Coturnix japonica: one gene and its partners. The main gene of each other region encodes a partner of the protein of the gene in region 2 in a complex. Links are inferred from orthologs where the notes say so. Each region holds a gene or a part of one and is shown on either strand. Other genes may lie near its edges.

Evidence for each region.
Region 1: MED8 (region 2) and MED20 share a complex: the UniProt entries of both Homo sapiens proteins name them as parts of the mediator complex. The link is inferred for Coturnix japonica from reciprocal best matches to the Homo sapiens genes MED8 and MED20.
Region 3: MED8 (region 2) and MED13 share a complex: the UniProt entries of both Homo sapiens proteins name them as parts of the mediator complex. The link is inferred for Coturnix japonica from reciprocal best matches to the Homo sapiens genes MED8 and MED13.
Region 4: MED8 (region 2) and MED19 share a complex: the UniProt entries of both Homo sapiens proteins name them as parts of the mediator complex. The link is inferred for Coturnix japonica from reciprocal best matches to the Homo sapiens genes MED8 and MED19.

What each region holds. Positions count from the first base shown.
Region 1 is NC_029541.1:4,731,774-4,740,471, reverse strand, and holds MED20 (mediator of RNA polymerase II transcription subunit 20), read left to right. Parts: upstream 1-3,414; coding exon 3,415-3,524; intron 3,525-3,668; coding exon 3,669-3,820; intron 3,821-3,984; coding exon 3,985-4,238; intron 4,239-5,150; coding exon 5,151-5,348; intron 5,349-6,153; coding exon 6,154-6,324; downstream 6,325-8,698. Other genes in the region: BYSL (bystin), read right to left, coding at 1,335-1,683, 1,815-1,917, 2,123-2,283, 2,470-2,603, 2,811-2,949, 3,031-3,416. UniProt on the Homo sapiens protein: Component of the Mediator complex, a coactivator involved in the regulated transcription of nearly all RNA polymerase II-dependent genes.
Region 2 is NC_029523.1:17,387,156-17,395,491, reverse strand, and holds the start of MED8 (mediator of RNA polymerase II transcription subunit 8), read left to right. Parts: upstream 1-4,007; 5' UTR 4,008-4,087; coding exon 4,088-4,093; intron 4,094-6,033; exon of another isoform or gene 6,034-6,051; coding exon of another isoform or gene 6,052-6,057; intron 6,058-6,518; coding exon 6,519-6,637; intron 6,638-7,633; coding exon 7,634-7,778; intron 7,779-7,982; coding exon 7,983-8,123; intron 8,124-8,336. Other genes in the region: KICSTOR complex protein SZT2, read right to left, coding at 1,322-1,453, 2,666-2,836, 3,439-3,612, 3,719-3,844, 3,978-4,007. UniProt on the Homo sapiens protein: Component of the Mediator complex, a coactivator involved in the regulated transcription of nearly all RNA polymerase II-dependent genes.
Region 3 is NC_029534.1:6,213,523-6,220,331, forward strand, and holds the end of MED13 (mediator of RNA polymerase II transcription subunit 13), read left to right. Parts: intron 1-32; coding exon 33-224; intron 225-379; coding exon 380-603; intron 604-1,005; coding exon 1,006-1,148; intron 1,149-1,352; coding exon 1,353-1,511; intron 1,512-1,590; coding exon 1,591-1,776; intron 1,777-1,968; coding exon 1,969-2,117; intron 2,118-2,385; coding exon 2,386-2,559; intron 2,560-2,969; coding exon 2,970-3,070; intron 3,071-3,810; coding exon 3,811-3,943; 3' UTR 3,944-5,924; downstream 5,925-6,809. UniProt on the Homo sapiens protein: Component of the Mediator complex, a coactivator involved in the regulated transcription of nearly all RNA polymerase II-dependent genes.
Region 4 is NC_029520.1:7,803,560-7,811,271, reverse strand, and holds MED19 (mediator of RNA polymerase II transcription subunit 19), read left to right. Parts: upstream 1-3,774; 5' UTR 3,775-3,797; coding exon 3,798-3,993; intron 3,994-4,134; coding exon 4,135-4,391; intron 4,392-4,458; coding exon 4,459-4,555; intron 4,556-4,637; coding exon 4,638-4,732; intron 4,733-4,869; coding exon 4,870-4,938; 3' UTR 4,939-5,203; downstream 5,204-7,712. Other genes in the region: BTBD18 (BTB/POZ domain-containing protein 18), read left to right, coding at 1-585; TMX2 (thioredoxin-related transmembrane protein 2), read right to left, coding at 1,766-1,912, 2,042-2,171, 2,258-2,323, 2,403-2,509, 2,590-2,666, 2,950-3,063, 3,188-3,248, 3,515-3,703; palmitoyltransferase ZDHHC5, read right to left, coding at 6,930-7,095, 7,393-7,712. UniProt on the Homo sapiens protein: Component of the Mediator complex, a coactivator involved in the regulated transcription of nearly all RNA polymerase II-dependent genes.

The DNA of each region.
Region 1 (8,698 bases), on a different chromosome or scaffold from region 2:
ATTGTAGACTCATATTAACCAGGAATAGCCAGAGAGCCGCTGCTGGGGGTGTCCCTGCACACAGAGCAGCTGCTGAACTGCTCCTGGGGGGGAACCTGCTCTGGGTGCCACCAGAAACAAGTTTATCAGGTGGAAAAAGCTGGGGCTGCTGTGCTCTCACCGCCGATGAATTGCGAGGAGCGTCTGTACAAACAGATTTTTTTATATATATATATATGAGTGAGTTTTAATTTAAGAGTAATCTGTTGTGGTGTTCACATGCAAGTCCTGCTGCTGGGAAAGTTGGAGTACCGTGTAATGTTGCAATAAAGTATTTTAAAGGAGCACGGCGGTGTCAGGGCTTTCCCTTTGCTGCTGTTCCCTGCACAGACGGGGCTGTGCAGCAGGAAGGTGAGCGCGTTGCATTGCGTGTTTGCTGGCAGCTCGGCCGATCTCTCTTCTTATCAGCTTCTGGCTTTTTTAAAGAAAGGAAATATGAACCAGGAAGCCAAGATTAAAAAAAAATGGCTGCAGTGTGTGAGCAGCCCCAGGTGCTGCTCTGCTCCACGGGGAGACACGGAGCCAGGAGGTGCTCAGCACTACACGAAGCTTCAGGGACTGCTCCCCATGGGCCGTGATGCTTCCAGGAGCAAGGACAGGAGCTGGACATCTGCAGGAGCTGTAGTGTCCAGGTGAGCACCCAGGTAAGCGCGGAGCCTTGTGCGATGCCCCGCTGGATTTTACAGCAGAGGTGGCACTTCAAGGCAGCTGCCACGTGTGGGTTATGGCCTTGCCCCTTGCCCCCACCTCTCACAGGAAGATGTTTAACCCCAGCCCCTCTGCCCAACATCACAGAGGCTGCTTAATGCACAGCACAGTTGGGAACGTGCTCGCTGCTGACCAGAGCACAAGGAGGGCAGGGAGTTGCACAGCCCCTGGTCTCCTTTTGCAGCCGGGACAGCTGCAGCGCAGTGCTGCAAGGAGCCGCTGTTGGTGGCTTTGCTCTGCCCCCTGCTGGGGACAGGACGAGGGGAGGGGGACAGGGCAGGACGATGCACGGATGCAGCCACACAAAGATGCAACTGCAGGTCAGAGCTGCTCCAGGAAGGACCCAGCACGGGCTTTATTTTCCAGAACAGGAGCAGGACAAGCCCTACTGCTGTCCTGGGTGCCAGGGCTGTAGGGCTGCCCTGACACAAGCAGCGCAGGGAGCCCAGCCCAGCCCCGTGGTTACAGCACCATGAGCAGTGGGATCCCAGGGCTGGATGCTCCCAGACCCCTGGACGTGCTGCTCCCAGCTGTGCAGCAGCCCCCAGGAGCCAGGCCAGGCTGTGGTGCTTCCTTCCTTCCTCCCCTCACTCCATCACTGCCGGCTCCTGCCCCTCCACGTCCCGTGTCTTGGAGTTCACCAGCTCCCTGCGGATCTCGGCTGAGATCTGTGGGTGGCTGTGGAACTTGAGCAGCTCGAGCAGAGCTTCCTTCTGCTCCGAGGACAGGTCCTCCTTGTAGCGCTGGGCAAGAGCCAGGAAGCTCTGGTGCCACAGCACGGGCAGCGTGCGCTGGTCTGTGCGGAAGGCCAAGAAATGGAAGACCAGGGCATCCACCACACGGAACGGCAGCGCGTACTTCTTGTCGATGAGCAGCCGCAGGAAGATACTGTTGGCACCGTTATATGGCATCTCAGCAATCTTCAGCATGGCTGCACTGTGGGGACAAGGGGAGCAGCAGGTGAGGGCAGGGCACAAAAAGGACGGCTTTGAATCAGCCCTGAGCAAAGCTCCCCCACTCTGAGCTGTTGGATGGGCTGAGGGGCAGTGACTGCCCCAGTGCATTACCTGGAGTGCAGGACAGGGATGGAGCACTTGGTGAGGATGCTGCCGATGATAATGGCCTCCCGCAGTGTGCAGGTCCCCGATTCACACAGGGGGATGAGGATCCCTGTGGGGAGAGAAGAGCTGGGCACCACTGGTCATTGCAGCAGGCAGAGCTGTGGGGTGTGAGGCTCAATCTCTGCTCTCTCAGGGCACATTTAACCCAAGGAAATAACATCTCTGCATCATGGGCACCTTTCCACCTTCCTCCCCCTGCCCTGCCCTGCAGCAGGTTCCCAGGGGTGGAGTGCAGCCCTGCAGGGAGCCCCTACCTTTGAACCAGGCTCCTGGCTTGAACAGAGCCTTCTTCAAAGCCATGTAGAGGTGGAAGTTGAGGCGCTTATACTCAGCGATATCATCTCTGACCCGTGGCAGCAGCACCAGGTTGTAGAACCTCTGGGCCATCCTCTCCTTCAGGTTGGATGAAAATATCCTGTGAAATGCAAAGCATGAAGAGTGAGCTGTGACTCCAGAGCCATCCACCCCCAGCATCAGGATCCCCTCTGCTCCACAGGCACAGGGCAGGAGGAGCAGCTGTAGGACACACGATGGTATTTTGTCCATCTCGTTCCATTACAAGGAGAAAACAACAGCTCAGAGCACACTGAGCTGGTCCCACCTCGTGGCCTGGTACATCGCTGCTGCCGTCCACGTCTCGGGCTCCGTGATGTAGAGGATCTGCTCCCAGTTGGACAGGGCAGGAATGATTTTAAATGCCTTGGGGAGCTTCCCACTCCTGTATTTGGACAGCACCTTCAATGGAAGCAGAGGGGGAAGGGTTTGTCTCAAGGCTGTAAGCAACCTGTCTGCTCCCTGTGCAGCTCCACTGCGTGTGCTCACACAGCACGTATGTGCTCACAACACCCGAGGGACACAGCAGTGCTGTCTGCACTGCTCCGCCGGGAGCTGGGGGGTCCCACAAAGGTGTGTGTGGGGCCGGGGGGGCCGCAGTGCCCTCACCTCTCTGACGCCTCTGTACACCTCTATCACGCGGGGGTCGAGCTGGGGCATGGGGCGGCCCGACAGCTCGGACAGCGCCGTCTGCACCTCCGTCTGCTTCTCCGTGATCTTCTCCATGATCACATCCGCCAGCGTCCGCCTGGGGGGGCGGCAGGGGTCGGTGATGGGGAACCGGAGCTCCCCGTCCACCCCCCGCCCATTCCCACCCCTCCTCCGGTACCTGAGCGGCGCCGCGCGGTTCATGAACATCTCCAGGGCCTTCTCGTCCTCGGGATCCACCTGCACGTCCCCCCCGCCGCCCGTCCCGTCCCACTCCGCCGCCCGCTGCAGTGACGGCCACTCCTCGTCCTCATCGTCCTCCTCCGACCCGCGCCCGCTCGGGGCTGTCGGTGCGGGCGCCCCGGGGCCGTGCTCGGCCTCCAGCTCCTCCTGCTGCCTCCGGGCCTCCCGCAGGATGCGCCGGGACAACCGCGGCCCCACGTATCCGCCGTCCCGTTCCTCCGCATCGCGCCCCGCGTCCCGCGCCCGCCGGTTCCGCACCGTGGGGGCCGCAGCCCGCAGGATCTGCTCGTGCAGCGGCTCCGCCACACGCGCCGCCTTCGGCATGGCCGCAACAGCGACACGCGATCAGACGCGCCGGCGCCAGCACGGCCAGCCCCGCCCCTTCCGGTACCGGCACCGCCACTGCCGGGACGGAGCCATGGGGGTGACCTGGTGAGGGGCCGGTGGGGATGGGGTGATGGATGGGGTGATGGATGGGGTGATGGATGGGGTGATGGGGTGATGGGGTTGGGGCTGGGTTTGGGTTTGGGTTTTGTGGAGGCCCCGCGGCCATTTTTGCTGTTTGTCGCCCCGCAGCGTGACGCAGGTGCCCGTGTTGGAGGGTAAGAGCGTGCAGCAAACCGTGGAGCTGCTGAGCAAGAAGCTGGAGCTGCTGGGAGCCGAGAAACACGGAGCGTTCGGGGTGGACTGTGAGACGTATCACACGGCAGCCGCCATCAGCAGCCAAGGTGGGAACCCGGGGGGGGCGGGTGTAGTGCGGACATGGGGCATCTGCTGGGCTGGTCAGCATGGAGAGGAGAAGGCTGAGAGGGGCTGGGGGCGCTTATCAACCCATACGAATGTTTAAAGGGTGGGTGTCAAAGGAACGGGCCAAACGCTGCTTTTCTTTCAGGGCAGACGGGCAAACTGATGTACGTGATGCACAACTCCGAGTATCCCCTCAGCTGCTTCGCTCTGTTTGAAAACGGGCCCTGCCTGATCGCGGACGCCAACTTCGACACGTTGATGGTGAAGCTGAAGGGATTCTTCCAGAACGCCAAGGCAAACAAGATCGAGAGCCGGGGCACGCGGTACCAGTACTGCGACTTCCTGGTCAAGGTGGGAACCGTCACCATGGGCCCCAGCGCCCGCGGGATATCCGTGGAGGTGAGAATCACCTTTAAGGGTATGAAATCCAGGGCAGGGAAATCCCATGTTGGAGGCTTGGCTAGAAACCTTGAGTCCCCATCCCTTCCATGTATCATCTGTGTTACTCGTTGCTGGCAGGTTGTATTAATGCATTCAATGCCCTCCTGCTGCAGCTTTGGCTCTAAAGCTGCTTTCTCCTGGTCACAGAGCTCTGTGCTGTCAGTGCTGCCCCAGATCTGAGATGAGGTGCTGAAAGGTCTTGTAAAATCTGAGCATGTGTTTCCCTAAACACACAAATCCTATTAACTGGTCTGTAATTAATAATGATGGCGCATCTACCCAGGCAGGTGTTCCGAGCTAACAGGGATGGGATTGAGAAATGCCTTGGTTTTGCTTCATAAGAATAAACACAGATGTAGTGGTGCGAGCTGCTGCTGAGCTGGGGTTAAAGAGAAGCTTGTTTTACCCTAAGCTTGAGTCCAGGACCAGATTTTCCTGGCAGTCCGGCTGCTTCTGCTTTGGTTTAGTAGGTTGTTTTCTGGGTGTCCATTAGTACATAATCCCTGGTCTGGAACCGCAAGTCCTTAAATCCCAAGGCTTTATCATCACACATCTGAGAGATGTCGTGGCCACACAGGCTGTTAACAGCGACTCTTGGGAGAGAAGTTTGTCGTTGGATTTCCACTGCTGGGGGTTTAAAATGACGGATGAACCTAAAGGGGAAATTTCCCTTTCTTGTTCTTCTCTTTTGAGGAGCTGGTTTGCACATTCCCTGTGTGTCCTGTTCACATGTTTGTCCTTCTGCTGTTATGTGCTCAATGTTCTCAATTGAAAAGCACTGTTATCCCTCTGCAGTGCAGTACAGAGGAGGTGTTTGCTGGCTTCAAACTCTTGATGCATATCTCATTTAGGGCTGTTTTTTGTTGCCAGGTGGAGTATTGCCCCTGTGTGATCGCCAACGACTGCTGGAACCTGCTGATGGAGTTCATGCAGAGCTTCATGGGCAGCCACACTCCCGGCATCCCGACTGTGTTTGGCACCAAACACGACAGCGTCTACAGCCCCGCGGACACGATGGTTCAGTACATGGAGCTGTTCAACAAGATCCGCAAGCAGCAGCAGGTGCCGGTAGCAGGGATCAGGTGAAGGGACTCGTGGAGCTCAATGTGCAGCAGCTGCAGGTCGGGGTCCGTCCAAAGAGCAGCTCTGCAGCCAGAACAAGGCACTGAATAACTGTGATGTCAGCAGCTCTGGGAGGAGCCGGTTGCTGAGCCGTCATCAATGGCAGCATCACCATGAGGGAACTGCACGAGGAATCGTGTGCCGAGTTCCTGCAGCTCCCGGTGGGGTCCATGTGCATTGACTGCACTGTGCCTGTTGGTTTCCAGGTGCTGGTTTCGGGCTGTGGCTGTAAAAACAAACCCTGGATTTGGTTGGGTCGCGATTTCAGTTGTTTCACTTTTTAATAAGGTTAAAAACAAAGAGTTTCCTTTCAATGACCATTTTAGTGACGCTGAACATTGTGACGCTTTACTCATTCCCTAAGGTTGGTCTTAAAGATGTAAAACATGCTGGGATCCCTGCAGACCTCACTGCCCCCCCCCCCCCCCCCCCCCCCCCCCATGGCCCCGTTATCGCCGCGCTGCCCCTTTAAGATCCCTTTGTCTGCTCCATCCCTATTGACCCTCAACTTCAGCCGGGATTCACAAAGCCCGCTACGTCACCGCCCGGGGCCGGGCCCAGCCGCTCCCCGCCCCTTAACGCTGCCTCCCGCTACGCAACCGTGAGCCGTTCAGGAGCGCCCCCTAGCGGCTGCGCAAAGCTCGTAAGCTCCGCCAGACCTCCGATTACTACGGCGCTAGCTACGCAAACAGCGTCCACTCGAGCGCCTTTAGCGCCGTTAGCTCCAGAGACGGTTACGGAATTGGCGTAGGCGGTGGAAGTGAATGGGGAACGGGGAGGGGGGCGGGGCGAGCGCGTTGTGTGGCGCGCCCTCCGACCAATGGCGGTGAGGGGCGGGGCGCGGCGGGCGGCCAATGGGCGGGGAGGGGGCGTGTCCCGCGGCGCGGCGGGGTCTCCCGGCGGTGACAGCTCGTGTCGGTGATGGCGGTAAATAAAGGGAGGGGGGGGGGGGGGGGGGAACCACGGGGCTGTGGGAGGGTCCGACCCACACACGGTGCCCGATGCGCTGCGGGGGGCGGGAACTGCGGGACGGGCCGGAACACGGCGGGGGGGGCAACGGGGGGGGGTTACCTGCTGTGGGGAACCGGGAATGAGGGCAGGAACCGGCCGGGGGGCGAGAGGCCTTTTGGTGTGACAGGGGGGGAACTAGAGCGGACAGGAACGGGAACAGAAGAACTTTGTGTGTGGGGGCCCGGGGAGAGAGTGGGGGGGGTGAGGGGTGTATGGGGGGATGTGGGGATATGGGAGATATGGGGGATATGGGGTGTAGGGGGGCGGCGTTGCCTCGTGTTGCCGGCCGTCTCGCTGGGCCCGCGGGGTCGGGGCCGCCAAGATCCCGGCTCAGTTCGGTCCCGCTGAGGCTCCGTTCCCCGCCTCGGAGCTGCTGCCCGTCGGGTCGGGTCGGTTCCGGGCCCTGGGCCGGGCTCGCTGCGCTGTTGCCGGTACCGCAGCGCTCGGACACTCGTTTCCCCGCGTGTCCCTTCGTGTGAGGGCGGTTCTGACAGCGCCGCGTTCGGGGCCTTTTGCTGTTGCACAAGTTGTGTTTGTTCCCAGTTGATGCTCTTTATCCAGCAGCAGCGCGTTGTAATCGGGGCTTTATTCAGCTGTTGCGCATCCACACGTCGTTGCTTTAGAGTTAAAGGTCGTTGCAGCGGTTGCGGAGCTGCCGACACGCCGGGCTGAGCCCCGCGATGTGCTCAGCAGCTCCCGGGAGAACAAAGTCCCGCTCAGCCGGGGCCGTTGGTGCCGCTCGGGGGTGGCAGCTCGGAGCGGCTCCTGCTGCAGCTCCTCGTCATCTCACGTTTGGGGTCCATAACTTGCTTGTTGTCCTTCCCTGGCCGTGTCTGGCCGCTGACTTTGCTTCCTTCCTTGCTAAAATGCACTTCGTTGCTGGCTGCTTCCTTTAAATGGTTGGTTGGTTCTCAGCACTTACAGAGGAGCTACAAGTACTTCGGTGGTGGCAGAAGCGCCGTGTTACAGAATCCATCTTGTAAGGTCTTATTTTAATCAGCTTCAGGGCTTCTTTCGGTAGTGCTGAGTCCTTCCCCCTCTGTCCTCCTCTCCCCTCTGCTTTGATATCAATTTATGTCTTAGGACCTCTGCTAGGAGTCACGAAGTTTAGCGTAGCTGTGTTCTCACCATCAGAGGAGCTTCACATTCAGATCAGCTGGAGATGGAACTGCTTGAGGATTCGGCTTCTGTCGCACAAGATGTGCAGACACAAATTCTTTCACGTGCACTTTTGGTTTGAGGAAGTAGTGAAGGTTTCTGGAGCTGCCCTGAGTCAGAGCAGAACTCAGGGCTTCTGTCTTCAAGCTGCTCGATAGAAAGGAACAGAGAGATGCTGAGATCAGTGGTTTGAGAAATCTCACCCGTAACGCCATTGAGATTAAATGGGAGAAAAAGGTGAGTCCCATAGTAACAGCTTTGAGCTTGTTGTGCTGTGAAGGACTTGCTGCCTGGGAGCTCAATGCTGAGAGTTCTGTGAGAACTTTGGTGCAGCGCCGCTGTGGTTTTCACCCTGAATGTTCCATCAGTGCTTTGGGTTGGGGCTCTGGGGGTGGTTGGGTTTTTTTTCCCCTCCCTATTGTGGGGATTGAAACCTCCAGAGCCGCTCTGGTCTCTTGTGTTAATTGCTCTGTGTGTGAACTCTGCACCTTCCCTGAGCGCTTCAGCACAAGCAGCAGAGCTGAGCTGGGCAGCACGAACCCCCCACGGCTCCCTTCAGTGGAACACCATCCTCGTTAGCACGAAGCCCTTAATGAACAATTGCTCTGGAGCACATGAGCTGCGCTAAGCAATTTCAATACATATGTATATTTAAGTGGGAAATCGGTATATTCCTAACATCCAACGCATAAACCAGAATGTGCTGCTTGTTTCTTCCTGCTTGTGTGCACCGCTGCCACTCTCCACTTCTGAGATCAAAGATGGCTCTGGTGATGCTGCTGAGCCGTGCACAGCTTTGCCACCACTGGCATTTATGGCCCCACAGCACAAACAGCCCCTGCACTGAGGGACAGGAGGCAGAAACCCAGGCTGAGTTCTGAGCGTCATCAAGGAGTGATTCCTCCGTGGTCTAAAGCAAGTTTGTGGTATGTCTGCAGCGAGTGGTTCCTATTGCAGCATACTGAGCACAATGCAAATTAAATGCTCTTTATTGCACTGTTTTCTGCTGCTTTTGAAGGATCTCCCTCTACCCCCCCCCCCATGCTGTTGCAAAGTGATTTAGTACCATAGGTAGAAACAAAGAAAACTTGGCTGCTTTGTGCTAAGTGTTGTTAATTAGCTGACAG
Region 2 (8,336 bases):
CTGGCAGTTCAACCCTATAATGAACTATTGCTTCATTTTTACTGCTAACGCAGAGAATGGATGAGACCCTTCCCAGCAAAGCTACACAGATAACCAAAGCTGGGAAACATTTGAATAAACGAAACTTTTGTTCTGTACAAATGGGAGCAGTCTGTCACTGCGAGCAAAAAAATGTGACTATCCATCAATTTAATTTGCTAGTTGCCTTCAATTCAGCCGCTTGTTGACAACAATCCAGCTAAGCAACTTCAAAAGTGAAAACAAATAAGTTTCAGTTGCTGCCCTTCCTCTGGGGCTTCCCACCTCCACCTCACAGCCTGTGGCAGGACCAGCCAGTCCCTCTGGCCTGCAAATGCATCCCTTACCTCCATTTGCATGGAAGAAGTTATAGGGTAGTTGGCTATGAGAGAAAAACTGCAGCACACAGGAATGCATACAAAGCACTGTAAAAACACCAGCTGTGCACACACGAAAACTATGCACTTCCTGTAATCCTCCTACTGTTGTAGGATTGACGGTCTTAGCATTCAGAGACAAACATTTTAGCTTAAGTATGTTGAGTGCTTCAGATACGCAGCTGCAGGAGGTCACCAGTAGTCTCTTGCTCACCCAATGGAGACTTTTTTTTTGCCTTGATCCTGAACACTAAAAAGTAATTCTAAAATAAGGACTGAATAACCATAACTAGGCCAACAATGCCTTTGACTGTAGGAAAAGTCCTCATGGGTATGATTCTGACTCCAGATCAGCGTGGCAGTACTGCAAGGTAACCTTCACATTCCTCGTTTCCAAGATCAGGGAGATGATTTTGATGAGAAATCTACAGGCACTCCAAATACCTACAAAGTTTCACTTTGACTTTCTTCCAATGCTATTTCCATAGCACTGTCATTAACTTGCTGCCACGTATATCTTTGGCTACCAAGCAAGATCTTCCAAAGGATTCAAGAGTATTAAAAACTGCATCAGATGTGTACTTGGTTTCATGGTTCGTTTTCCTGGTAACAAGCATTTTCATTCAATAATGCATCCTACAGCCTGTTCCATAGTCATTAAGCTTCTTTTCCACACATTTTTTTTAAGCACTTTGTTATCATCCTGGAAAAGGTAGCTGTTTTCATTAGTCCTTCCCCTAAACACTTACTGGTTCTGCTCTCCTCAGCACTCATTTCTTATTATTAGACCCCACAAAGTTCTCTTACAAACTCCTTAGCTGTTCCTTCTTCACACTTACAACAGCATTCCTCTATTTGCCACTCCACCCACAGGGTCTCACAGCACAGATCTTTATTTAGCTGAGAAACCCCATCTACCTCCTCACCTGTGGTTTGGGTTCATACTGTTGCTGGAGCATCTCTGCCACTTTGTTCTCAAAGGCACACAGCTGTGTGTAAACTTGGTGCAGAAAGGCTTCTCTCTTTGTTTCATCCAGCTGACAGCCCTGGAACAGTACCTGGCACAAGGACACACACATCAGCCAAAGAGTTTTATACTATCAACCCCCTATAACACAGTTCAGACACGTCCCTTACAAAGCAGAGCACAGGCCCCTTGTCACTATTCCTGCATGGGGCCAAACAGCCTGTATGCAACAGAATTTCATGGCATCTGCAGTGAACTCTGCAGCAGATGCTCTAGGAAATTTTCCTCTTGGATGAAAAAATTTCTACTCTTTTGCCCTCATCTAGGAAAAAATAACATGGGATCCTTATGAGAAGGCATTAACTCTGGTCTGACATTTCTAAAGAAGATCCGTTTCTTCTAACTCACCTACTGGATGATCCATTTATCTTCTAGTAAGTGGTTGTACAGTGGAGTAAAATGTTGAAAATCAGGAGTTAGAAAGGAGTTAGACTGGACATTACAAAAGAGGCTCAGTGATACAACAGAAGATCCACAGAAGCTCCCCATGCTGACTGGCACAAAGATTCTATTTATGGTACTGTGACAGAGGCAACCTCTGCCAAAACCAGGTATTGCAGAATAAGGAGGCAAAGAGGATACAACACCAGGGAAGTGAAAATAACATGAAAATGCCGTAAGATGGAAGGGAATGACACAATAACAAACTTCAAAAACCTCGCAGGCATGATAGACCAAACCTCAATGTATTAAAAAGACCTGCCCTGGCTCAAGTAAATGAGAGATTATTGGGGGCTGCCCTCTCCACTAGGGGAAGCACATTTCTAAGCAACGCTAAAAAGGAACAAAGGTTGCAGGAAGAGGAAATTATGACTGAATAAACCACAGCTACACAGCTGAAGCAGGCAGACAAGCTTTTGGACACCTCTTATTGAATGTTTCAAATTACAACAGGCCAAAAGAATTAGTCAACAGAAATTAAAATAAAACAAACAAACAGAGCAACACCAACAAAAACACAGAGTAGTCACGAGCATAAAGACTCAGTGTGCTCTGAGAAGCACATGTGGCAGTGATCTCCAAAGGGCCCTGCTCTACTGTGAGAAACCTTTGCTTCCTCTCAGAAGAGAGAATTTGATCACCTCTGCTTCTCTATTGCACCAGGCTGCATGTTTTAAAGAAGCAAGATTGCAACACCCCAGAGCCCAGCTAACAGACATCCCTACTTTCCTCTGGGCTCATAGGAAACCAACGCAGACAGCTGCTGACGCAATGAGATGCCGAGGGCAAGGCCAAGTTTTACCTGGTGGGATTGCAGGCCAATGATGGAGGAGTACGCCTGGATGGTGACAAAGATCTCGGGCTGATAAATAATGTCTGAACCAGGGATTCGGAAGGGCCTTAACAATCCCACTAAGCATCGGGAAAGAGCATGAAACACTTCATCAAAAATGATCTCTCCTGTTGAGTCATCCTACAGAAACAGAAGAGGAGAATTATAGAATCATTATAGCTAAGATTACCTTGTCCAACCATCAACCCATTCCCACCACACCCACTAACTGCACCTCACATCTCCACAGCTTTTGAACACCTCCTCAGTCCTTCTGACCACACTAGTTCTGATACAAGCCAGGATGCCTTCTTGGAGACCTGGGCACACTGCTGGCCCATGTTCAGCCAGCTGTCAGCTAACACTCCTAGATCCTCTCCCTCCATAAAGCTCTCAGCCACAGCCCCTAAATCAGCAGCACTGCATGGGGTAAACAAAACAGCTTTTACATCTTCTGGAATCTGCAATCTCATTGCACCCACCACACAGAGACAAGTACAAGCCTATTTCTGCAACAGCAGCTGCCTCAGAACGACCCCTGCAAGCAGAGGTCACACATTCTGCAAGGAAACAGGATCCACTGCAAGGCTGTGTTGCCAGCAGCAGTGCCTGCTTCAGCCCTCAGGAACACAGGACCCCTGCAGGAGTGACCACTAATGCAGGGACACACATGTTCTCAGCAGAGGGAACCAAGCCTGGTCCTTTAACACAAAACACCCCAGAGAGGCAGCTCCTGGACTCACCACGATGCCAGTGGAAGGGCTCAGATCGAGCTCAATGACAAAGCGGTACTGGCGGGCCAGGAACGTAACGCGCGTGGAGGGCACCAAGAGGTAGGGCCGGGGCTGGACGGGCTCATCCGGCTGCCATCCGTTGGGCAGGATGCTGAGCACATCCAGCTCGTTTTCTGACTTCAACTACAACAAGAAGCGAACGACAAGCATGAAACATTACTCCAAGCCAAAGGACACGCCGAGATGCAGGGCCACCATCCACCCTGCAGCACCCCCGGCCCCCACTCACCAGCTCGGGCTCGGGCACAGCCCAGATGACCTGGTGCAGCCGGCTGAGCACCCAGGCGAGCCGCACGTTGCGGGAGATGCGATAGTCCTTCTTCATCAACAGGAAGACGTGCCCAGCCTCCTCCACCTGCAGCAGAAGCACAGCGCCTCGTCACTCCAGGCCGGGCACCACCACAACCCCCGACCTCTCTACACAGTTCCCGGTCTCAAAGCCGCAAACAACCCCGCCTCCCCTCGCCCCGCAGCGCGTTACCCCTCACCTCAGCCTCGGGCCTCTCGGCAGCCGCCATGTTTGCCCGGCGGCCCCGCCCCGCGCCCTCTGACCTGACTCGGAAGTGGAAGGCTGCCATAACAACAGGGCCGCGCAGCCATGCAGGTGAGGGGCTGTATGGGGTTGAGCAGGGCTGTATTGGGCTGGGCTGGGCTGGGCTGGGCTGGGCTGGGCTGGGCTAGGCTAGGCTAGGCTAGGCTAGGCTAGAGGGAGCAGTAGGCCCGTATGGGGTTCCGCTGTGCCCCGTGGGCCGGGCTTTGGAGGAGTAAAGCAGTGTGCCCAGTTGTTCGAGAAGGTCTATGGTATCTTGGCTCGTGGAGGCTCAGTGTATCCTATAGGAGCGGGGTGGTGGGCGTCCCTCTGTGCTGACATTGGTTGAGGCCGCATCTCGAGTGCTGCGTTCTGTTCTGGGCCCCTTAAGCAAGAAGGGCATTGAGACCTGAGCGTGTCCAGAGATTGCGACAGGGAAAGTGAGGGGTGGAGGCATTACAGAGAGCAGCTGGGGGAGCTGGGATGGTTCAGTCTGGATAAAAGGAGGCTCAGAGGGACCCCATGACTCCCTTAAACTCTCCAAATATTTACAATGGGGTGGAGGTCGGCCTCCTCTCCCAGGTAACAGTGACAGGATCCCTTGCTTTCCTAATAAATCCCATTATTACTTTGATTTCCTCGACTTCTTGAGCCTCAGGCTGATGTTTCCCTGGGTTACCCTCGGATAATCCTCAGATCTTGTTTGTGAGTGATAATGTTATCAGCTCAGAGAATGTCATTGTGTGTGTGTAAAGTCAGGGTTGTTTATTTCTCTTTGTTTCATTGTGTGTATTGCTTTATGTTTATTCTGAATTTCACCTTTACCTCCCAGTCATTCATTATCAGGAGTTCCTTCAGCAGTCTCTCCCGTAAATCCTATTTTATTACCCTGGGACAATTCAGTATTGTTAACAGACTCCTTGAATTGCTGCTTGTATATGTCTGTGAGAGGCAGAGTATTTCTTTGAATCATTGATCTTGGTGCACGTGTGCTTTGCGGTGCTTAAACTTACTTCCAGCTCTCATGGAGAGAGCACACAAAAGGAGGAGGCTCAGACTGCACTGTCACACAGTGTAGTGTGATTTCATTCACAATCTTTAGGGCTTCTTGGATACGCGCTGGCAATGGGCCACACCAGTTGTCTTGGTTGTGTGTACCTGCCACCTCTGCAGTGAGATACTGGCTCCCAGCCCAACTCGTAGTGCTGTCAGTGGTTCATCTTGCTCAAACACAACGTGCACAGTCAGCGTTAGACTTGTTTCTTAAGTGCACAGGAACAGACTAGTCCCATCACAGGATGGCGGAGAGCTGCAGTGCTGTAGCTGTGAGTTGTAACCCCGTGGTTTGCTCTGTTAATCCATGCTGTGGATTGGAAGTGGATTTTAGCCACATTTATTTTGCCATTTCTTCTAAGGTAGTGAAGTCTTATCAGCAGTCTATGGAAAAAAAAACAAAACCTTTATAGTCTTGTCAGACCGTGAGTAGAATAATTTCATGTTCTCTTAAATGTGGAAGATACTTGATGATCTCATGCTAGTTTCAGTTTGTTTAAACAGCACAAGGATCCCAATAGTGAGCGTGCAAGCAGACTGAGTCACCCCATCTGCTTTCCCAATCAGCATTCCCTTTCTATTATTTAACTGTATTGCTGTGTCTCACCCTCCTCGTGGATTATTGTTGTACAGTCCTTGACTTACATTAGCAGTCCATTAGGATTGGGGCTTTAATTACATTTTGTGCAATTCTGTTGAATGAGTAAGAATAGATAAGGTTCTAGAGGGTTTTCGCAAGAGTCGGAGATATTCTGTGCTATATGTGACAACAGGTCTCCTCTCCTATTGCTTTGTATGTCACCATACTCCTCTCAGCTAGGGGAGAAGATTATTTAAGCAGTGCACCAAGGCAAAAGGCAGCAGGTGATCTCTGCATGTGTCTAACTACGTCACTGACACTGCAGCGCCTTCCACAGCTGGTAAGGGACAAGGAATTTTTAGGAGCTGGATGCAGCACCTGGACAGGAAGAAAGTGAGAGATGAGGGTAAGGGCAGAAACTGGAGTCTTTGGGCCACTGATCTGATACTTGTTTTGCAAATGGCTGTGCTGGGTGAAGACATCACTGTGCCTGCTGTCAAAGGGTGCTGAGAATGCTAATCTGCTTTCAGCTGGGTTAGCATGAATAACTCACGGAGGTGGTGCAAGGTAACTTTGATGACTTTGCCTGATGCAAGTGATGTATAGGCTTTACTTATCTAGATCTTAAAAATGACAGCTAGCCATGGGTTGGCTCAGGTACGAGTCTCTTCCTAAATGTTTCTTACAAGGAGACAAGATAAGTGTGAAAATGTAGGATTTTTATCTACGTGGTCTCTGTTTCCTTGCCTTGAAGAGGAGTCTCTCCATAGGAGAGGGTGGAATATGGTTGCAGATGTATGGATCCCCACAGTCCTTGGAAAGGTACAAAGCTTTGTCCTCACCCCTATCTTTCATTCTTTTTTTCAGAGAGAGGAGAAGCAGCTGGAGCTGACCCTGGAGGCACTCATCAGCCAGGTGGCTGACCTGAAGAACTCATTGGTCAGTTTTATCTACAAGCTGGAGAATGAGTACGATCGACTCACATGGTAAGGCATCCCACAGAGACAGGGCACTGTCACTGATCGCTGCTGAAGCTCTTCTAGACTCTGCCCAAAAAGTGTAATTAAAAGCCACTAACTTGCTCTCCACAGGCTTACCTTCACTTTTCATGTTAACGTTGGTGAAACTACTGAGTATCTCCCACCCGAAAAACAGTTGAAATTCATTTCTTCTTCACTGTGCAGTAGTAATCATACCAATACCCTTGAACCTGGGTGCTTTATGGGAACTGGTGTAGTTGTTTTCATTTGCAGTGACTGGAAACTCTTTGGACAAAAATATCTTAGTGACCCACTTATGCTGTGAAATGAGCAATCATTCTGCATTTCTCAATCTTTTATCTGGTTCTGTTATAAAGTTGTGTTCCTGTGCTCGCATTTTGCTGGTTTGGCATGCTTTCTCAGACAATTTGAGAGGCTTGAAAGGTGGTATTCTCTTCCTGGTGGACTGGAAGGATGATGTATCTACAGCTGAATAAACTCTGAGGTGTCTTAGACAGTTTCTGCTGCAAAGATTCACAGACAGCATCTGTAGGTGGTGAAGTCCCCAGAGAGAGCAAACTGAAGGGGATCTTCTTGATAAGTTTGTCCATTATTTTGCCTCATTATCACTTTGTCTTGATAACCAAGCTATAAAACCTGTCTCTTGTCTGTACTGCTTAGGAGTGAGTATGTGTTTCAAGACCTTGCTTGAGAATTTCACTGGGAGAGTTATTGATAAGAAAAGCATTGCTCCTGTGTGTGTTGCAGGAATCCCAAACAACTGCCACTTCCAATGCTACTTGTAAAGTCCCTGGGCTATTTACAGCATTGTACGTCGAATCTTGAATCTGTCCACACCTACACGTTCAGCTCTAGGTTTTATTCCTTATTGTTTGGGTAAATAATAATGTTATTTCCTCGGTTCCCAGATATTTGAATGAGGAACAGATAAAAGCCATCTGTGTTGTCTATTTCCATGTTCTGTTCTCTTTCCTTTCTCAGGCCTTCAGTTCTGGACAGCTTCGCATTGCTCTCAGGACAGCTGAACACTTTAAATAAAGTGCTAAAGCATGAGAAGACCCCGCTATTGCGAAACCAGGTTATCATCCCCTTAGTGCTGTCTCCAGACCGTGATGAGGAAATCATGGTAAGAAACTTCCTGCTGAGTATTGGACCTGGAGTGTCACAGCGTACCTGCAGTTTAGACTTCCTTATGCTCCCCAGGCCAAGGTTTTCCCATAGCATCCCAGTAGGTCTTGCTCCAGTGTCATGGCCTGTGCTCTGCTCTTCAGCTGTCTGAGGGCTTAGCTGGAGGAGGGGGCCCTGAGTGTGTGTTGTCCAACTGTTGTAGCGACAGACAGAGGGTCGTGTACCGGTCTTCAGCCACGAGGTCGTGCCTGACCATCTGCGAACTAAGCCTGACCCAGAGGTGGAGGAGCAGGAGAAGCAACTGATCACAGATGCAGCTCGAATTAGCCCTGATGGAGCACAGGTAGGTGAAGAAGAGTTTAATACTTCTGTCACTTGGTCCTAGGGCTCACGATGCCCTTTAACTCAGTTTTCATCGAGCTTATAGCTAAGTTTTCTTTGTTGGTATGCCCTGAGGTTTCTTTAGATAGCCCTACCTGATGTTTGGGTTACAAATCTCACATGACAAGGGTATCCAGCTTAGTACCTGCTCACAGGAGGTGCTATCAGACCAGTC
Region 3 (6,809 bases), on a different chromosome or scaffold from region 2:
TCAATTTTATTTCCCTGTGTGACCTGTTGTAGATCGTTCCGTGTCAGTACCTTCTGCAGCCTGTGAAACACGAAGACCGGCAGATTTATACTCAGCATTTGAAGTCTTTAGCGTTTTCAGCGTTTACTCAGTGTCGGAGACCTCTTCCATCTTCCACCAATGTGAAAACATTAACTGGCTTTGGCCCCGGCTTAGCCATGGAAACAGCTCTTAAGAGCCCTGATGTGAGTATTCTTATGATTAATGTGGTTCTGTTAATGTGCAGATGAGAGAAATGTCCCTTTTTATTAAATCATTGGTGTCTTTTACTTGAACTGAACAGAGTTCTTAATAGTAATCTCTACTTGAAACTTCATTTTCTGTTCTGTTGTCCTTATAGAGACCTGAGTGTATTCGACTGTACACCCCTCCTTTTATATTGGCTCCTGTCAAGGACAAGCAAACAGAGCTTGGAGAAACCTTTGGAGAAGCTGGTCAGAAATATAACGTGCTTTTTGTCGGCTACTGTTTGTCTCATGATCAAAGATGGCTTCTTGCATCCTGTACAGATCTCTATGGAGAACAGTTAGAGACGTGCATAATTAATATAGATGTACCGAACAGGTAAGTACCAAACTCCTTTTGATTTTTAACATGTATATATTCTTTCTTTCAAAGAATCATTTTTATCAAGATGATGTGAGAATATCTCTTGCTTTTGTTGACCCACTGTGCTGCAAATTTAAACCAAGTGGATAATTTCAATATGATGTGGATATTGAGTTAAATTTCTAGAAGGAATGTCCTATGGCCTCCTGTGATTGGAGAGTGCTTTGGTTTGTGTGATTTCCCCTTCCACCCCTTCCTCTGGCTTTTGATGTTAGTGTTACAATGTGATGAATGAAAAGCAAACCAATCCTTGTGTCCTGTGAACATTCAGGTTGGTACAAACAAGTTCCAAAGGTGGCAATAGAAGTTTGTCACAGATGGATTCCAGTTTTGTTTTCTCTTCTGTTTTAATTCTAGAGCTCGCAGGAAAAAGGGCTCTGCCCGCAGGCTGGGGCTTCAGAAACTCTGGGAATGGTGCCTGGGACTCGTGCAGATGAGCTCTTTGCCTTGGAGAGTCGTAATAGGCCGCTTAGGAAGAATAGGACATGGGGAATTAAAAGGTAACGTTTGTGCTTCAGTGTCTAAAAGTCGATTTGAAGCTTTCTTTTTAAATAGTATAGTGTCAATCTCTTTCTGGAAGAAAACCTGGGTGAAGCATATGAAGGAGCTCTAAGTTAACTCACAAATACTATGTCATACATAGAATAAGCATTCTTCAGCAAGTGTTGTTCTTCTAGACAAATCTATGTCCTTTGTATCCTCAGACTGGAGTTGTTTGTTGAGTCGCCGAAACCTTCAGTCCCTCAGTAAGAGGCTGAAAGACATGTGCAGAATGTGTGGTATCTCTGCTGCAGACTCTCCCAGCATTCTCAGTGCTTGTTTGGTAGCAATGGAACCGCAGGGGTCCTTCATTATTATGCCAGGTATGTGAGAAACGCTATTTTGGCAGGGGAATTAATTGTTTGTTTTGTACAAAACTAAGGAAATGTTTTTCTTCCAAAGATTCTGTATCTACCGGCTCTGTGTTCGGACGCAGCACCACTTTAAACATGCAGACATCTCAGCTGAACACCCCACAGGACACATCGTGCACTCACATACTTGTGTTTCCCACATCTGCTTCTGTGCAAGTGGCATCGTCAACTTATACCACTGAGAACCTGGATCTGGCCTTCAACACAAACAATGGTGAGCAGATTGGATTTATTCCTGTTTCAAAAACAAACCAACCCGAAACCCTTCATTGCTCCCCCTGTAGCAGGAATAAGACTTTATTCTACTAAACCACAGCATTTATATGGCAAATCACTTAATTTCTACTGCTTCCCTACTTATGGGAACAGCACATTCTGAAATCACGTGTTGTTGTTCTTTTTCAAGATGGAGCAGATGGAATGGGCATCTTTGACTTGTTAGACACTGGAGACGATCTTGATCCCGATATTATAAATATACTTCCTGCATCCCCTACTGGATCCCCTGTACATTCTCCAGGGTCCCACTACCCCCATGGAGGTGATATGGGCAAGGTAACTGATAGAGTAAATATAGAGGGGTGTGTATGTGTTCGTGTATATGTGTGTGTGGTTGTTTGCTCTCTGACATCTGGTTATTTCCTTTCTGGAATGAAAGGTTCCTATGAACTATTTTGAATTAATCAGATATTGGATTGCCACTGTAAAATCCATGTAATGCTCGGATCCTTCAAAAACGCTTTGTAATTTTAAAGCTGTGGGTAATTTCTTGTATCTTTGTGGTCTCCTAATAGTAAACCATTGCCTGTTAATTTTTTTATAGGGTCAAGGTACAGATCGATTGCTTTCAACGGAATCTCACGATGAAGTAACAAATATACTGCAACAGCCACTGGCCCTTGGTTATTTTGTGTCAACTGCCAAAGCAGGTCCCTTGCCTGACTGGTTCTGGTCAGCGTGTCCTCAAGCACAAAATCAGTGTCCCTTGTTTCTTAAGGTACCGTACCTCCAGTGGGGCTGCACTGGCATTTTTATTGAACAGAGGATTTATTTACCCTGAGCACCTTCAGTATGTAATAGTCTGACCTTATGGGGACAGCAGTGAACTTTAAAGCCTGTTTATTATTAGAAATCTTGTCACTGGAGTTTGCCTCCTTTTTTAATCATCATTTAATGTAGGCACAGAAGTAGTTTTAAAACAGTTTCCTTAGGTGTATTGCACTGTTAGCATTGTGCTTTTAGGAGAAAGGATTCCTGCACTTATGAGCTGCATAAGGATAAGCTTTATTTAACTCATGTGTTAGAGAACTAAGTGAAGTGGCTGCGATATTTGGGTCAGCGGAACAAGGGGAAGGAAGTTGCAGTTGAATCAGACGCTGACTGCTCACATCTCTCCTCCTTCCTCAGGCCTCTTTGCACCTCCACGTGCCTTCAGTGCAATCAGACGAGCTACTCCACAGTAAACACTCCCATCCACTTGATTCTAATCAAACTTCTGATGTGCTCAGGTATTTATGATCTATTGCTTGCAAAAACAGCTGTGCATTTCTTTTTTTAATACTACTGCAGGGGATCTGGAGGTTTGTTTTCCTTGCCATTAGTTTTCTCATTGTGTCACTGCCCTTCATACATAGCAAACAAAACACATTGCTGTGCACTGAGGGATGAAAAGACTTCCTCACCACAAGACGCTGCGGTTTAATACAAATATCTGAACTCTGATTTAACTAATTAAGATTGATTACAACTAAAAATATTTGAAAAAAACGTGAAATTCATTAAAAAATAGTGCATAAATGGGAGGAGGGTGGTTAGACTTGAGCCAGAATCTCATGTAAGCTGTGGGAATACTGAAGTCCAAGGGCATGCAGGTAGTTGTGTACACATAAGACACTTGTTAATGAGAAAGCAGCGTCATGGTTGTGTTAGTATTCACATATATATGTTCACATTCATATATATGTTCACATTAGTATGTGAATCTCTTAGCATTAATTATCATTGTCAACTAGGATTGGGTTAATTATTGATTAGATTTGATTAGATTATTGCTTAAAATACTACAGTATTTTCTACTGAAGTTCAGCTTTAATCTGCTCGCAACGATTCTATAGTTGTGTTACTGCAAAACATTGGCAGACCTGTTTTATGTGCTGAATACCACAGCAACCATGTTACGTTAAGCCGGTGCTGTAAAATGCTGCTGAGGAAAATCTGTTGGCTTGATGGAAGCTTGTTTGCTTTTCAGGTTTGTTCTGGAACAGTACAATGCACTCTCCTGGCTAACCTGTGATCCTGCAACCCAGGACAGACGGTCATGTCTCCCGATTCATTTTGTGGTGCTGAATCAGTTGTATAACTTTATCATGAATATGCTGTGATCTTCACCTGAATTTTGCAAGACAAAAATGAGGAAAAAGGATATTTCACTGCAGGACTAAGTTATGATTCTTCTCAGTGCGAGTTGTTTGTGATGGGGTATGAATCTTGTTACTTCCAGCAAATATTGGTTTGACTTGTGAGAGGGGGTACTTATCACCTGCTGTCTTGGAGTCGTTGACTATGGGGGATGCTTTAGAATGATGATCAGAAAGTGTATTATAACATTTTTAGTAGCAAAATTAACCATTTTTCCCCGGTCACAGTATTTGTGAAGAGTAATGAGCCATAGTACCCAGTCACAGTTAATGAATATTAAAGGCATGGAGATGAGAAGAAACGTGAGGAACAATGAGTTTCAACCTATGGCTTCGGAACATCAAGATGTTCTTGTATTGGATTATAGTACCTAGTATTCAAAAATGCCTGCATCTCTTATTTATTGTAAGTTTTTAAATGTATAAATTGTCTTATATTTCTTAACCTCTTTTATAAAAATTTTCCTAGAAGGTTTATACTGCCTTCTTGCTTTAAAGCAATTGGTCTAAAATATATGTAATCGTCTTAATTAAAAGTTGCAGTAGGTTGCTTTTAGAGTATTATTTTTTTGTAAGGGGGTGGGCGGGGACAGTAAATTTGTATTGTCTTGATGTACAGTTTAATGGGTATAGAGGGGTTAATGTCCATACCATTGTGTGTGGGGGATTTACAGCTAAGCTGTAGTTGCAGAGTACATGTACAGTAATGAAGTTCACTGTGTTTATATAAATTGAAAAGGTACCGGGTCTTACAGCATTTTATATCACACCTTTACAGAGTAACAATGGCAATATATCAGTGATATTGTAGGTGGTTTAACTTGTAGCGAGAATAAAACGAATAAACTCTTCAACTGAAGTTTGTGTTATGGTTCAGGGCTGTGGCTAGATTCTCAGATCTACTTCCAGTATCCTAGTTTAATTATTACAAGAATATCTATTGTGCATTGTTGTTGCTGGATATTCTTGGCACTGTGTTGAGCGCATTATTTTCTCCTGCTTGTGATAAAACACAAACCTAAAGTGGAAGGCACAGAACACAAATGTTGCCCAAAGTGTCCCGTTAGGCTGAAATTTAGCCCAGCTCTAACCATTTTACAAATGCAAAAGCAGTCAATCTTGACTTTAAGATTGGTGTGTGTTTAACTAAGATGTGATGTATATAGATTCTCAGTGAATTCTGGTATTCAGATTTTATTCCCTTAGGTGGGGTGGGGGGTGGAGGAGGACTAAAAAAAAAAAAAAACCCTTAAAAATAAAAATCCCAACCCCTCAAAAAACAACAACAAAATGCCCCAAACGTTTTCCTTTTTCATGTATTTTTGGCACTGTGGTGAAGGTTCCAAGTTTCAGTGTATGGCCATCCCCACAGCCCCTTTTCAGACTTTGTGTTTAAGGCGGCTCAGCCTGTTGGGAGGTGACAGCCCTCCCTGAGGAAGGGCCTGACTTGTTCCTGACTAAATCATGGGACTTTGGTTAAACCTCTCCTCCTTCACCATTTTTTTCCCTCTGTAGTTTCCTTCCTTTCTTCTCGCAGCCGCCAAATGTCTGATGGTGCTCTAAAATAGCCCCTACGGGTGCTGAAGAGCAACTGCATCTGCTTTTCCTTGGTTCCTCATCTTCTGACTGCTAGATTGAAAGCTTAACTCCTGAAGTGCTCACGTGAGTCTGTTGCTGTAATCATGTCCTGGGTCTTAACGCTGTCCGTCGAGCTGGTTAAACCTGTACAGGAGCAAGTTAAGATCCATTTTTTGCACCCACTGTTAATCCTCTACAAGGAAGAAATCACTTGTATTTACAAAACGTATCATGTTAATGAAGATTATGGTTTTGTAAATGCAAAATACCTGCCTGAGAATTTTTTTTTTCTTATAAAGTCTCCTTGAATGATGTATATACAATAGCGGCGCCTTTTTTGTTTTGTATAAAGCAGTTGTACAATTGATGATGAAACTTTCAGTCATTTCTTCAACTTAACTTGAGTGCAATCAGCAGTAGCAGGTTTTGATTAATGGTTAATAACGGGGTCTGTCTGTTCACTCACCTTGATGGAGCAGCACGTTTTGGTCTTACGGAGGGTTTTCCCCTTTTGAAGTGGAGAAGTGCTCCTAAAACTGCAGCTTCAAAGTGTACGTCCCAGTTTTATGTTGGGTTTTCTTTTGGTGTTTTGTTCCTTAAGTGGTTGCTTAAGTTCCAAGGGCTGGGGCTGGTGTGGCGCTTTGTGTTGTTCATACAGGTAAGTGAATCAGCTGCCTAAATCGTGATACAGCCCCATTCTGTTACCTGGGCCATAACATTCCCCATGAAGCTCTCCAATTGCAAAAGCTGCCAGTTTCCCACATGATCCCCTTCCCTCTCCAGTGCAGTTAAATGATAATTAATTTAATACTGTAATCACTAAAAAAATGATGAGGGCTGTTTCTGAAGCGAGTCAAAGCCGGAGGTGTACGTATCAAAACTGCCAATGCCATAGAGCAACTACTCCATTGAACATACCTTTCCATTAGTTACTTTCATTCTTTTAAGTGCACATAATTGCTGATTTATAAATAAAGCCATTGTGAGCCAATAACTCGGGTTCTTTAGAAAGTGCAATCTTAAATATTTGAAAGCCTCATCTCTGGCTTCTTAAAGTGGTTTTGAGAAAACATGTAGTTCTGGCAGCGCTCTATTGAGTAGATGTGGAATTTCCCCTCCTATGTATCCAATGAATCCAATGGAGCTGAGATCTCCTTCCATTCCAATTGAAAATAGGTATTTAAATTGAGATCAACAGGAATCTGGTCACACAGTAATGGTCATGTAGTAATGTCTGTCTTGTTGCTGCCTG
Region 4 (7,712 bases), on a different chromosome or scaffold from region 2:
CCCCCCGCGGGTCGCCCCGTGGTGCTGGATCTGGACGGGCTGAAGATGGCCACGCTGCGCACGGTGCTGCGGTTCCTGTACACTGCCGAGCTGGACGCGTCCCGGGACGAGCTGCGGGACGTGCTGGCCGCCGCCCGCCGGCTCCGCGTGGCCGCGCTCGAGTCGCTGCAGCTGTGGGAGGACGGAGTGCTGCGGCCCGGGCCCCGCTGGCAGCTCGACCGCAGCTGTCTGAGCGGCACCGGGTCCGGCACCGTCCCGCTGACGGACGCCCCTCGGGAACGGCCGCTCCCTGCGGAGACCGCGGGTCCGGCCCACGCCGTGGGGCGGCTGAAGCTGAGGAGGATGGAAGGGCGGCGCGGCTGGGAGGTGGTGCGGGACGGGCAGCTCTCCCTCGAGCCCGTCGCAGTGGAGGCCCGGACGGGAACGGAGCCGTGGCCGCCGCCGGCTGCGGGCGGGCTGACGGAAGACGAGCTGGAGGAGGAGGTGGATGTGGGGATGGCGGAGCCCTGTCTGCCCCCCGGCACCGTGTGCGTCTGTCCCAGCCCCGAGTCCGAGTCCGGTGGGGAGGTGGATGTAGTCGGTTAAGGAGCCGCTACCGCCTGCCCGTGAGACCGAAAGAGCGCGGTGTCCGTGTGTCGGGTGACGCTGAAATAAAGCACTAACGCCATGTGACGGAGCCGCGGAACTTTATTGGGGTAACGCTGCTGGGTGCCGGCCGGGGCCGCTGAGCTCCGGCGTTTCTGCGGGGGAGCTTCGGAGTCGGAGGCGATACTGGGGGCGGTGCCCTCCCTTGGTGCCGCCTCTTCATGAGCGCTCCCTCCGCGACGCCGTTCTCGTCGTGCCGCCTCTAGGCCAGGCTGCTCCGCAGCGCCTCCACCACGACCTCGGGCTCGGGGAACTTCAGCTTGCGGGGCGGCCCCTTCCCGATGCCGCTCCACAGCTGCACGGCTACGGAAGGATACGGACGCGGGTCAGGGCGGTCGGGATACACACCCCCCCCAGCTCCTCCCGGCCCCGTACTCACTGCTGCCGTCCTCCTTCACCAGGGACACCTCGAAGCTGTTCCTGCGGGGCTGCCGCGGGTTGATCTCCACGGCCAGGGCGGACACGGCCCCGCGCAGCGCCTCGCTCAGCGCCAACGCGTTGCGCCCGTACACGCGTCAGCTACGGCTGCGGGAGGCGGCACTGAGACGGGCCCGCGGCCTCGGCACTGAGAGGGGCGGGGGGTTTAACCTACCAGTGCTCGATGACCACGCGGGGCCCAACGGCGTCCCCGGCAGCGCCGTCAGTATCGCCCTGAGCATCAGTGCGGGGCCGCTTCTCGGCAGGGTCGGCCTCATTCCCCGGCTGTGCGGGGCGCCGCACGCCGCGCTTCCGACCACGAGGAGCCATCACAGCTCCCGCCGGCGCGCCACCACCTCCCGCCACCGAGCTGCGCTGAGGCAGCCAATCAGCGCACGGAACGCTGCACGCAGCCACGCCCCCCGCGAGCACGAGCACGGAGCGGACACGGGGACGCGCACAGCAGGTTTATTGTCAGCATAAGGACGGCGCGACCCGCAGCACGGCTATACCGGCTGGACCACTAACGGGAACCGGCTGGACCCAGACCGGACACCGGCGGGGCCGGGGGATGGCACGGGGCCCTCAGCGCGGGCACAGCGAGCAGTGGCCCCGGGCTCAGCGCTACGTGCAGGGCTACCAGCCGGCACTGCATGGTCCCCAGGGGACAGCGGAGTGGTGATGGGTGAGAACACAGCAGCTCCTACTTCTCCTTCTTAGTCTCCCCGTTGGCAAGGCTGGCCGCTCCTTGCCCCTCGGGCGGCTCCTCGCTGCCTTCATCCCGTGGTTTTGACTGCTTCTTGGCCTTCTGGTACAGCTCGTTCAGGTTGAACTCCCTGATCACGTTCTCCTGCAGTCAAAGCACAGCATTAGCACCAGCAGTGACCTGCTAACACCCACTATTCACAGCTCCTCAGAGCCGCTGAGCACATCCCATCCTCAGGGCATGGGCTGGAACATCCTCCTGCCCCTTATGTACCTCAGAGAAGGTCCAGGAAACGGCCCGGCCCTTCTTGTCAATCTGTGGGCGACGCATGATCTCTGTCCCTCCCTGGAAGAGGATGAGGGTGGGCAGCTGCTTGGTGAGGGGCGAGGTGCTCACCTTGTACCTGCAGGAGTAAGGCAAGAGGCAGACAATGACATCAAGGCACTTGGAAGGCCTGGTACCTTCCTCTACCCTCTCGGCCCCACAGACCTGGTGCTGACATCCGTGTATCGGCCAACATCCACCTTCCCAAAGTGCAGCCCCGAGCAGTTGTACCTGGGAGACAGAACACAGCTCTGAGTGAGCACTGGGCTGGGACCGACTCAGCAAGGCCTCAAAAGCAGGCAGCACTCACTTGAGAGAGAGGTCAGCGAAGATGGGGGCAAAGGACTGGCACTCACTGGACCAGTTGGCGAAGAACTCGACGATCCAGGTCACCCGCTTGTCTCGTTCCAGCTCCTCCTGCCACGCGAGTCAACAGGGGATGGTAGGCAGGGAGCCCGGCACCCCACGCCAACTCACACTGGGTAGGAGATACTCACATCTATGGTCTTATCGTTGAAGTACTTGATATACTCAGGTCCCATGTAAAGGGGTGGCTTGCAGGTCATCAGGAACACTGCAATAACAGCATCCCTGAGCCCAGCGCCCACCTGGAGCGAGGCCTCTGCCCCCTTTTTTCCACTTCTGGAATGCCCAAGAGACACAGGCTTAGTCTGAGGGAGGCTCCTCCTTCCCCAGAGCAGCCTGTATGGCTACAAAGACAGCAGCAGCACAAGGCAAGATGGCTCCAGCCCCATTTGAGGAAGGCAATGCACAGGATGGGCAGAGACAAGGCCTGACAGGAGCACTGTTACAGCCCCTGCATTACGGATCCCCCCCCACTTCCCCACGTGTCTCACCGATGCAGAGCGTGAGGTAGAGCAGGCCCATGCGGATGTCAAGACGGAAGAAGAGGATGGCGTTGGCCACTTTGCTGAACATGAAGATGTTCCCAATGTGCTGCTCCACAGTGACTGGGAAGGAGGGAAGAAATCAGAGATGGGGCCACGTCTCTTTTCACTCTCATCCCTCAACTGTTTCCAGTACAGAGACACCCCATCAGCAGCTTATACTCAACCCAGCACTGCCCCAACTCACTGGAGCGCCGGTTCTTCATCATGACGATGGCGCTGAGGAACATGAGGATCTCCACCTCCCGCTGCACAGGAGAGAAACGCAGTGAGCACCGTGACAGCCACAGCCACAGCCACAGCCACAGCCACAGCCAGCACCTCGGGCACAACCGAGCAGCCCTGCAGCACAACCACAAGGCCAAGCAGCCATTCCAGGCCGCTCCAGCCTTCATCCTCCGCCTGCCCTCGATCAGGAGCCGGGGCTGCGCACAGAGGGGCCGCCTCGGCTGCACCCAGCGCCGGTGATACCCGAGTAGGCCACGGCACAGGCCGGCCCGGTGCTGCCGCTCACCCAGTCGAAGTCGCAGGGGTTGCCGTCCTCCCGCTGTGAGGGCAGCCCGCGGCACAGCGGCGGGACCTTGCGGACGAGCAGGAATGCGGTGGCGAGCAGCGCGGACAGCGGGTAGTAGGGCCGGGCCAGCCAGCGGCACAGCCCCGGCACCGAGTACAGCAGCGCCAGCAGCGGGGCCAGCACCGCCATCTTGTCCTCCGGCCGCCCGCCGCGCTCCCATTGGCCGGAGCTGCACGTACGTCCGCGAGGGGCGGGGCGGCCCCGCGCGGGGCAGGGCGGGAAGATGGAGAACTTCTCGGCGCTGTTCGGCGGGGCCGAGCCGCCTCCCGCCGCCGCCGCCGCCGCGCTGGGCTTCGGGCCCAACAAGGGGCCGGGAGCGGGGGCCGCTCCGCCTCCAGCAGCCGCCGTGCCGCCGCCGGGAGACGACGCGGCGCGCAAGGCCGCCACCGGCCCCTTCTACCTGCTGCGGGAGCTGCCGGGTGCGGGCCGGGCCGCGGGGGAGGGGGGGGGGGCGCGGGGCCAATGAGCGGGCGGGACGCGCGGAGTGACGGCTCGTCGGGCCAATGGGCGCGGGCGGTCCGGCGAGGGGCGGGGCGCTGAGGGTGCCGGTCCGTCCGCAGGCGGCACGGAGCTGACGGGCAGCAGCAACCTGATCACACACTACAGCCTGGAGCACGCGTACAACAAGTTCTGCGGCAAGAAGGTGAAGGAGAAGCTCAGCAACTTCCTGCCCGACCTGCCCGGCATGATCGACCTGCCCGGCTCACACGACAACAGCAGCCTGCGCTCCCTCATCGAGAAGCCGCCCATCTGCGGCAGCTCCTTCACGCCGCTCACCGGCACCATGCTGACCGGGTTCCGACTGCACGCCGGCCCGGTGAGCACCCGGGGGAGGAAGGGGGGATGGGGGTAAGGAGGGGGTCCGCTGACATGAGCCCCTGCAGCTGCCGGAGCAGTGCCGCCTCATGCACATCCAGCCGCCCAAGAAGAAGAACAAGCACAAGCACAAGCAGAGCCGCACGCAGGACCCTGTGCCCCCAGGTAGGACCGTGCCCTGCTAACTCTGCACCCCATGTGTCCTGGTAACTCTGTGCCCCGCTCACCCCTCCTCTGCTTCCTGCAGAAACCCCCTCGGACTCAGACCACAAGAAAAAGAAGAAGAAGAAAGAGGAGGATCCGGAGCGCAAAAGGAAGAAGAAGGAGAAAAAGAAAAAGAAGGTAGGTTAGGAGGCAGCGTGCTGCTCTGCTCTGCCTGCACCAGCCCCGTGCCAGGCCGCGGCAGCACCACACGTTAGGCCTCCAGCAGGGCTTGGCACTGGGTTTCACAAGGCCTCACGCCTGTCCTTCTTCTGCAGAACCGACACAGCCCCGAGCACCCCGGGGTGGGCAGCTCGCAGGCCAGCAGCAGCAGCAGCTTGCGGTGAGGCTGCGCTGTGCTGCTCTATGGAGCTCCCTGCCCCAGCTGTGGACTCGTCCCATCACAGAGCACAGCGGGGAGGTGTGGGCACTCATGGTCCCCGCTTGCAGAGAACGTGGCCTTGCAACCCCCCTGCTTGCACTGTGTGGCTGATGGGGACCTGGTGACGCGGACGCTGCTGGAATGGGGGCTCCTACCACACCTAAGCAACGTGGTGCATTGGGATCTCACTTTTTTATTCACCTTTTAATTAAAGTCTGCTCTGAGGAAGAGCTGGTGCCAGTGGCGGCTCTGACTGTTGGCCAGCGGGGCAGGGCAAGGAGCAGAGGCCTTGTGCCTGTCCCATCATACTCCAGGCCTTGCAGCTCTCTGGGCTGTGAGAGAAGGCTCAGGAGGACACAAGTGACCCCAGTTCAGCACCATGTCCCCCAGGGCTGCCCCTGTGGGGGCTCCTACAGAAGAGCCAGAGCCTCACTGAGTCCTGGGACATGTTCCAACCCTGACAGCTCCACTTACCTGCACTGAGAGCGCTGTGCCCCAAAGTGCCCTAAGGAAGCACATCCCAGCTGTGAGGGCGCAGGCACTGGCAGCCCTGTAAGGCTGGGCCCGGCTCTCCTTGTCCCCTTCCTTTCCACTCCAGACGAGGGAGGGAAAGCTGAGAAGTGAAGGACAGGATCCTTCACGGACTCCTCCATCCCTGGACACCGCACAAAGCACACGCATGCCCGCTGAGGTGACTCATTAAATATCCTTTTATTCCTCGTTTTTAAAATGGCTAATCATAATAATAAAAAAAAAAACAAAAAACCAATGGCATGGCTCTGCGGAGGCCACAGGAGAGATATTGCCATAGAGAAAGAGTCAAGTAGTGCGTGAAGTTGCGTGGGCCCGGTGCGGGGTGGGCTCCCCAATGGGGCTGGGGGTGGCGGGGCAGCACTGGGCTCCTTGGCTGCGTTTTTTGGCATGTGATGAGAAAATATTGCTCGACAGGGATGTGCCTCTTCCCCACATGGAGATAAAAATAACCACGTGACAGCCAAAAAAAACCTGATCACCCATTAAAAAAAAAAAATAATAGAAAAAAAAACCACAAACCCTGGGGAAATGCTAAAAAAAACCAAAAAACAAAATATAGAGCAAAATGTGCAGGTGCAGAAAGGCTGCAGCCCTCACCTGCACACCAGCAGCTCCCCCGGTCATCGCCAGCTTCACACCACCTCTGTAGCCAGTGGGAGATGCCGGGCACAGGGGCTCCAGATCCAAGCACACGGGAGGGGGGTCCACAGCATGATAGAACCCAGCAGGAGGGTCCAGGATCCCGCAGGCCCCAGTGTGACATGGGCACCCCGTGACCCCCAGGAGCCCCTGAGCGAATCCCCCCCTTATCCCTCGAGCACAGGGGCCCTGGGTACGGACCCTGTGAGGTGGTGGCCCATGTGGGGAAGGGGAATGGGTGGTTTCTTCCTCTCTCTGGGTAAGATATATAATTTCTGCTTCTTTTTTTTTTTACTTTTTTCTTTTTTTTTTTTCCTTTTTTTTAATATTTATATTTATATATATAGATATTTATATATACACACACCTGGTAACTCAGAAAGAGAAAAAAAATAGAATCCGTAACAATAATAATAAAAAAAAGTTATTCTGGTTTAAAAACAATCCATTCCTACCACGCTAGGCGAGCGATTGATTGCACAAGGCCCACAAGTGGCTGCCCGGCCAATGCTGGCAGGGCACGAGGCTGCGGGACATGGTCCCCCCCCACGACCCCACACCTGGCCAGGGCAGCATCCCTGCCCCACACAGTCCTGGGGTGTGAGTCAGCGCCTGAGTCCCAGGGAGGGGTGGAAAGAGGGAGGAAAAAAACCCCTGGGGCTTCCACAGCCCATCTCCTCATCCCCGTCTTCAGCTGGAGACTGCAGAGCGTCTGTGCCCATGGAGCCCTCTGGTGCAAGCGGGTGCCCAGCCAGGAGGTGAGCAGGCGAGCGGCTCTGCCCCTCATACCGAGATCTCATACGTGGTGCCCCCCACACCAGAGACCTTCTTGACTCCTCCACGTGTGGGGCTGCTGACAGGCACGGATCCTGAGCCAGGGGTGGCTGAGCTCAAGCTCTTGGGCTGCCCGTTGGACTTGCTGTAAGATGTTCTCATCTGCATCTCGTCTCTGGGGAGGGAAGCAAGCACACGGGGGTGAGAAGGTGGGAGCACGGGGGTAGAGTGTGGCAAAGCACGGGGCAGAGGGAAAGGGGGGAGTGGGATCCCAGCACGGCGGAGCAGAGGCAGCCCTGCCTTCCCCAGGGACACAAAGCAGCCAGACGTCCCTCAAGCCCACCAAGATGCCCATGAATTCTCCCAGGGACAACGCCAGCTCTGTGCCAGCAGGACTTTCCCCAGCCCTCCCCGCATCCACCCCGGTGAGCTGCAGTGCACGCCATGCGGGGCAGACGGTGCCAAAACTCACTTTGGTGCCAGTAGCGGCTGCAAGGCCACCTCCTCAGCCTCGGGGACGCTGGCCTGAGACGCTGCTGGTTTTTGGCTGCTGTAAGACACAGATTTGCCCAAGTGGGGGGCGGCGGGCTGCTCAGGGGAGCCCAGGGAGCGCACCCGCAGCACGTGAGAGGGCTCAGGCTTGCCAAAGCGGGGAGGGGCCGGGCGGGTGAGCGGATTCTTGCCCAGAGGCGAGCGCTTCGAATCGTCCGAGGAAGAGCTGGTGCGGGGGGCGTTGCTGGAGCCCGGCGTCGACTGGATGCCCGAGTCTGCCAGCCCCGCATCGTCCTCCCT